2 linked regions of the Rhinolophus ferrumequinum genome follow. The protein of the gene in region 1 purifies or fractionates together with the protein of each later gene. This does not show direct contact. Links are inferred from orthologs where the notes say so. Each region holds a gene or a part of one and is shown on either strand. Other genes may lie near its edges.

Region 1 (3,746 bases):
ACTAGAACGCCCTCTAAAACTACAAATCCCATAATCCTGGTCGGCCTCACCTTTTTTGCTTTTAAGGCTTCCGAAGCAGCGCCCGACGGTTGAGGAAGCACATCTTTCTTTTCCTAACTTTTCTCTCTCCCAGACTGCCTTTTCATTCCTCTTTTCGTTCCCTGATTCCTATTCTTCCTTTTAGTCTCCTTCGCACCCTTATTTTAATATTTTATTTGAAACTATACTTAGCCCCACTCTCGCCTCTACTGCTCTTCTCAGCCACAGGACCCGCACCCCCAAGCACTCTTGGCAGGGAGAACGGGCCACCTAACACCCAGTGGAAAGAGCGTCGAATAGCTTCCTCCCCATTGGCCGAGGCAGGGGCCCAAAGTAGACCAAAACCTCTTCCCCAGCCACACTCGTTTTTCTAGAAAGGGGCGCGAATCCGCAGCTTGCGCTCGGGAAGGACTGCTTGCGAGAGGATGGTTGTAGTGGGCAAAGGGTCGCAGTCCGCGGGCTAGGGACTCGTGCGCAGGCGTCGGGCGGTGGGCGGAGGCGTTGGGGTCGGGGCTGTGCGTGTGGAAACAGGGAAGGGCGTGGTGTCCCCAGGTGATCACGACTGGGGAAAGACGGAGCAGCGAGAGAACAACTCGGCCATTTCGAGGGAAGAGGAAGTTGGACAACATCGGATGTTTTAGTGCTGATTTTTTTTTCAGTTCAGCAGCGAATATTTTCCGGGGGGGTGAGTTAAAATGACCGATCGTACTTTACTGAGAACAGTTCATAGGAAGGCGGTTTGGACGCTCCGTTCCTCCCTTAACTTTTTCAGAATTCACTCCTCCGCTCCTCTGAAGCCTTTCTAAGTAGTAGGTGGGCAAAGGGAGGTGGGGGCAACCAGGTCATGAATAATTCATGAACCATCCTGTTCCTTCGCCACGCCCCGCCGAATCGTGCTCACGCAAGTTACGTGTACCAAACCTGAGGAAGCGACGTAACAGTCCCCGCCCCTAGTACGGAGGGCGGGGCGTCGTCTCCAGCACGTGCTGCATCTACCCGCGCAAGCCCAGAAGGTTGTGCGCAGGCGCTGCCCGCTAGGGGGAGGAAGGAGGCGGGGTAGGGAGGTTGTTGGGTTTAGAGCCGGGCGGAGGCCGCTGAGACTCATTCCTCAGGAACAAGGGTCGGGTGTCAAGGAGACCTTTTCACACCAGCTCCCCGTACCCCGCCTACGGTGGGTGGGATCGCGCGGCAGAGACAAAGGATATCAGTAGGGACGAACATAGCTGCGAAGGGAAGTAGGGTGTCAGTTTGGGGTGGTGGGCTCTTTGTGGGGGTTGAGGGGGGCTATATTTAAAGTCCCGGAGCCGTTAAGTTGGTTCGTACTCGGATGCGCGCGCGACCCGGGTGGTGGCAGAGTGCGCATGCGTGATTCTGGGACGAGAGGAACGCGCTCCAGCAGTGCGCGCTCGCGGCAAAGCGGTAGTGGTAGGGGAGGAAAGGGTCGGCGCACGCGCGGTTGATTCCTCGAGTTGTTCGGGTCTCGCGGGCATCTTGTGGTCTCGCGGGCGAGTGGGGCGCGCTTCGGGGGAGGTGCTTGGGCGCGAGACTAGGCGAGAAGAGCAGAGCTGCGCGCGCACTTAGGAGGGGGGGAAGGGAGCGGGGTCTAAGAAGGGGGGTTAAGCCCCCTGGCCCTCCTCCCCCCCCTCGACTGGGACGGAATAAGGGGAGGAAATGATCGAGATGGCGGCAGAGAAGGAGCCGTTTCTGGTGCCGGCCCCGCCACCGCCGCTCAAAGAGGAGTCTGGCGGAGGGGGCGGCCCCTCGGTGCAACCGCACCGAGAGGCTGCCTCCGGGGAGCTCCGAGGCAGGACGCAGCAGGGGCCGGGCCCGCGCGCACAGTCAGCCAGGGCCCCAGCTTCTGGGGCCGGCACGGAGAGCCCCGGTGCTACATCCACCCCTCGGGGAGGCCAGTCGCAGCAGCAAAGAGGGGGCGGCCCCCAGGCGCACGGGGAGGCCCGCTTGTCGGATCCCCACGGGCGAGCGGCTCCCCCGGACGTGGGGGAGGAGCGACGGGGAGGGGGCGGAACAGAACTGGGCCCCCCTGCCCCGCCCCGACCCCGTAATGGCTATCAACCCCACCGGCCCCCTGGGGGAGGTGGAGGCAAGAGGAGAAATAGCTGCAATGTAGGAGGTGGTGGAGGCTTCAAACATCCGGCCTTCAAGAGGCGCAGGCGGGTTAATTCGGACTGTGACTCTGTGTTACCCTCCAACTTCCTCCTGGGGGGCAATATCTTTGATCCACTGAACCTGAATAGTCTCCTGGATGAGGAAGTGAGCCGCGCACTCAATGCAGAGACCCCTAAGTCATCCCCACTTCCAGCCAAGGGGCGAGATCCAGTGGAGATTCTCATCCCCAAAGATATTACTGACCCGCTCAGTCTCAACACTTGCACTGATGAGGCCCAAGTAGTTCTTGCTTCACCACTCAAGACTGGTCGGAAACGGCATAGACACCGGGGACAGCACCACCAGCAGCAGCAGGCAACAACTGGAGGGAACGATAGCCACTCCTTGCTGCCCACAGCCCCCCTCACCCCCTCACTCCATGGGGAGGGCACCACACAGCAGCAGCAGCGGCACAGGGGCCAGAATCGGGATGCCCCCCAGCCCTATGAACTCAACACAGCCATCAACTGCAGGGATGAGGTCGTGTCTCCCCTTCCATCCGCCCTACAGGGTCCCTCAGGCTCCCTTTCAACCCCTCCAGCTGCCTCAGTTACCTCTGCACCCTCGTCTTCCTCCTCACGACATCGAAAACGTCGCAGGACTTCCAGCAAGTCAGAGGCAGGGGCTAGGGGTGGAGGCCAGGGTCCCAAGGAAAAGGGCCGAGGGAGTGGGGGAAGCCGCCACCACGTCCACCCACTACCTGCAACAGGCTTTAAAAAGCAACAGCGCAAGTTCCAGTATGGGAATTATTCCAAGTACTATGGGTACCGCAATCCTTCCTGTGAGGATGGGCGCCTTCGGGTGTTGAAGCCTGAGTGGTTTCGGGGTCGGGACGTCCTAGATCTGGGCTGCAATGTGGGCCATCTGACCCTGAGCATTGCCTGTAAATGGGGCCCATCCCGCATGGTGGGCCTAGATATCGATCCCCGGCTCATCCACTCGGCCCGCCAAAACATCCGACACTACCTGTCTGAGGAGCTGCGACTGCCACCCCAGCCTTCTGAGGGGGACCCAGGGGCAGAGAGTGAAGAAGGGACTACGACAGTCCAAAAGAGAAGCTGCTTCCCAGCCTCACTGACAGCCAGCAGGGGTCCCATCGCTGCACCCCAAGTGCCCTTGGATGGAGCAGACACATCAGTCTTCCCCAACAATGTTGTCTTCGTCACGGTAAGAGGGTGTTGGGTTAGGGGCCAGGTATGAAGAGATTAAATGGGAATGTGGCAGGGGAAGGTTGTGAACCAGAGGGATTTCTGTGCGTGCAGTTCTTGATAGGAAAACCAGATCCTTAAGAAAAGGGTCTGAATCTGCAACTGATTCATCTGGTTGTCTCTCCCTCTATAAACTAGAAAGATGAGAGCTACACCTGGGCTCTTTTCTCATGACAACTAGCCCCAAAAGGGGGTCTCCTTTTGCCCTGTTCCCAGCCTGAACTATAATCCAAACCAGTCCACCTTCCTTTGGAGGCTGCTGCTGCTAATTTGGTCTAGTTGAAAACTTGTCTTCCAACCTACTGAAGGTGCAATGAAGGAATGGGTGTCAGA
Region 2 (3,746 bases), on another chromosome or scaffold:
AATAGAAAATAAATTAGTTTAAAAGATTCCAACTAGTGTATTTTCAAAACAAACAGAAGTGGGCAAAATAAAATTCAACCTCATGCTGTGGTTGAAACCTGGGTATAGGAAGTTTCTGGTTTACTTTTCCATTTTTCTTGACTGTCACTCACATGCTTTCAATTTCTATAATGAAAAAGGAAATGTACCAATTGTTAAAATGTCTTTAAAACCACCCATCTGCATGTACACCAGACGTGACATGATTCTTAGACGGGACCCTCATCCCGGAAACGTACTGACTCCCTGCTCAGTAATGGCTGCCTCACACACAGTCCTGCTTGAGCCCTTTCTCCCACCTTCTGCAGCATCCTCACTCCCCCACTGGCTCCTCCCTGGTGTTTTCATCCTTACATGAGCTTTTCTAAAGACAGGTCAGCTAACTTTGTCTTTTAAAAGGTAAGATAATAAATATTTTACGCCTTGCCTGCCACTGTAGTGCCAATACAGCCATATGCAAATAAATGGACATGGCCGTTTGCCAATAAAACTTTATTTACAAAAACTGGCAGTGAGTGGGTCAGATCTTTACTACCCCGCTCTAAAATAATAGTATTAACTAGTACCATTTAGATAAAACTTTGAGACTGCAGTAAAATATAACATCAGAAAATTAGATGGCCCTATTTGCAGACTGTACTCCATGATTTAAATATCATATTTAGGAACTTAAAAGAGTACGTGAATTGCACTGAGGAGCCAAAAAATTCCTGTTAAAAAAACAACTGTGCACTTACTCATGTAAGACTGTCCTTACTCTGGGGATAGGGATAATGATCAGATTCCATTGTTTGAAAGCAATTCCACTGTCTTACAATCAAGTCCGGGCAACCACTGAAAAATGCTGGGTAAGGAATTCCGCAGGAGAGGGTTTTTCTCAAAAAAAAAAAAAAAAAAAAATCTCCTTTGCTTTAAAATTCAAAAATGGTGCCCATAAACAGGCCGAATTAATTTGAGTTGAGGGATAACATTTTAAACAGAAATAAAGAAAATCTAAAAGAAAACTCATCTATAAACCCCATCCTTCTCTGTTTCAGTTTCTAAAAAGTATCTACTAAACCCTTTTTATTGAGGTCATACAAATCTTAAAAAAAAACAAAGTCATAAAGGAAAAACAAAGTATTAAATCAGAATCAAAATCTGAACAGCTTTTTCCTAAATACGTAAGCAACCAACATAAAAAGAAAAGACAGACTGCAAATAAATCTACATCACATTGAAAAGTCATGAAAAATATCTTTATTACATTGCCAGCTGATTCAAATACATTGGTGAAAACAAAAAAAATGTGAGAAAAAGACAAAACAAAAAAGGAATAATTAGTAAGTAAGTATGGGAAAATATTTAGCTTCTTATTTGCTAATGAATGTGATATATATTTATAATTCAGTAGGCACAAGTGATAGATCATTAAAATAACCAGTGCAGGTCAAAGTGTATTGTAACCGACACTCCATTTTTTCAAGGCAATGAAGACTGATTAATAATATAATACTTTTTGTAATACAATTTAGAAAATGTACCTTGAGCTCATATTCCTTGATTCAATTTACTTGCACAACTGCATGAGGAAATAATCCTGTTTTATGCAAAGCAATTCACTGAAGCTTTATTCAAACTACCAGCAGAAAAATGAAGTCTCTCACAGAAGGGAGTTAGAAAACATTCATTAGCAGAATATTCAGCAGCCATTTAGAATGAAGTTCATTTTCCATGTAATGTTAGTTTGAAAATCAATACAAGTTAAGTATGAATAGAACTACCTAAAAAGCACGCAGTACAATGAAATGAAAGGAATACAGAAACATGACGAAGGTACAGAGAGAAGCAGTCAGGTCTCGCTTTTACTTTTTTTAACTTTCTGCAATCTGCTTATTGCATGAAGCTTTTAAGGAAAGGAAATTCCTTTACCAACACATCCCAGATAATGATGTGACCTCCAAACACCCTACTCTAAGGATTTCTTTACTCCTGCTCAGGACTGATCAGTTCTAACCTGGATTTCCGCTTGGAGTCCGCTACCTGGGATGTGCCAAGACCACTTAACCACCTCTTGGGGTCTCGGCTAAGAACGCCTGCCTCAGTTCGGCCTGGAAATCCACAACAGGTACTTGCTGCTGCTGAGATCGCCTCGGGTACAGCTGACACCTACAGCAAAAGGACAGGACACATGCATGAAAAGACATTTGCTATGTGGCTAGCAATATGGAAGCAAACACAGAGACCCTTACATTTAAAGGGGTCCTCACTTAGGGTGACAGCATGACATCACCTTATGAAGAAATTCTAAATCAGGAAACAGGGGCCTGTCTCTGCACACAGGGAGCTGAGGGATACTTACCCACTTGGGGACTATTACCAAGGAAGTTAAAACACAAAAAGAAACCAACCAAGAGCTCTTCCTGTGGAAAAATCACTAGTGCCATATCCATTACTCACTTTCGAAACTTCCTATCTGGAAAGTTCTTTAACCCCAAGCGAGGGGGCTGGGCCTTGTGGAGGCATTCCCATTGAGATATTAGGCTGTCCTCCAAGCCCATCCTGCTGAGATGTCACTAGCTGAAACAACGAATTCCAGGATCCAGGTTCAGGTTCTCAAACTATGTCAACCATCCATTAGTAGGGAATTCCAAAGACAGATCCCTATGGATCAGTAATCTGGCAGATCCCTATGGATCAGTAATCTGGCAGTGAATCTGAACCTCAGGATAAGGAAGAGATGTATGAAGTTACAAACAAGACAGGCACGAAAAAAATAATTCACCAGCAAGTCTGCCCTTGTTGATTAAGCATATACCTATATAAACACACATACATATGCATGTACATGAAAATATTCAACAGCAATTAGATTTGGAAATGGGGCTGTGATAAAACGTTTTCCACTATTTTCCGTACTTTTTCAGTAACATTTGTAACATTCTGTGATATAATAAAGAATTAGATTGGACTTTGCCCATGGCTCCCAGATCCTTTAAAGCCCTAAATTTAGCCAGTGTTAGGAGAGCCTGTGTTATTCACTGCAAGCCCTCTGGCTCACACCTGAGTTAATGCTAAGACCACGCCTCCTCCAGATCCGAGGAGACAGGACCTGGCCAGGCCACAAAGACCAGGCGGGGCTTAGAGGGTTGGGACTGGGCGCCTGCCCTCCTTGGAAGGGAAGGGAGCTGGGAACTGTATGTGACAAATGTCCTGTCCATCATGTCTAGGTAACGAACCGCTGAGAAGAACTCTAGACACCCAGTTCTCTGCATACACACTGATGTGTGGACAACCCATCACACGCGGAGGGTCACATCCTGGGAGTCTTCCTCTGGCTCACCCTGATTTGTATCCTCTGTAATAACATCACAAGCACAGTGCTTTCTTGAGTTCTGAGTCACCCTAACAAAGTATGGAACCCGAGGGAGTTGTGGAAACCAAGTGCATCCAGCTGTCATGAAGGGTGGGTCTAGAAACGCTGGTGCTCACAGCTGGTATCTGAACTGAAGGTGAGCTTGTGGTGGGACGGTCTCCTTGACCTGTCACGGTCCCCTTGACCTGTCATGGCTGCACTAACTCCAGGCACTATGACTGCTCACGCCTTTCCATTTCCCACTCCAATCACTGAATTCAGTCTTCACTCGGACATTGGCAGTTCCAGTCCTTTCATTACAAATTAGCAACTAAGTCTTTAAGCTAACAAGGTTCTAAAAAGTAAGTCAGCC

The links. Proteins that work in one complex are often made in the same cells at the same time.
Region 2: the proteins of MEPCE (region 1) and SNRPN purify together in Homo sapiens (affinity purification with mass spectrometry; 3 studies listed by BioGRID and IntAct, counting the BioPlex papers as one, with this or other methods). This does not show direct contact. The link is inferred for Rhinolophus ferrumequinum from reciprocal best matches to the Homo sapiens genes MEPCE and SNRPN.

The regions. Positions count from the first base shown.
Region 1 is NC_046290.1:90,767,536-90,771,281, forward strand, and holds the start of MEPCE (7SK snRNA methylphosphate capping enzyme), read left to right. Parts: upstream 1-1,321; 5' UTR 1,322-1,710; coding exon 1,711-3,372; intron 3,373-3,746. UniProt on the Homo sapiens protein: S-adenosyl-L-methionine-dependent methyltransferase that adds a methylphosphate cap at the 5'-end of 7SK snRNA (7SK RNA), leading to stabilize it.
Region 2 is NC_046311.1:14,877,469-14,881,214, reverse strand, and holds the start of SNRPN (small nuclear ribonucleoprotein-associated protein N), read right to left. Parts: upstream 2,189-3,746; 5' UTR 2,188-2,188; coding exon of another isoform or gene 2,036-2,187; intron 1,294-2,035; coding exon of another isoform or gene 1,251-1,293; exon of another isoform or gene 929-1,250; intron 166-928; coding exon of another isoform or gene 145-165; exon of another isoform or gene 1-144.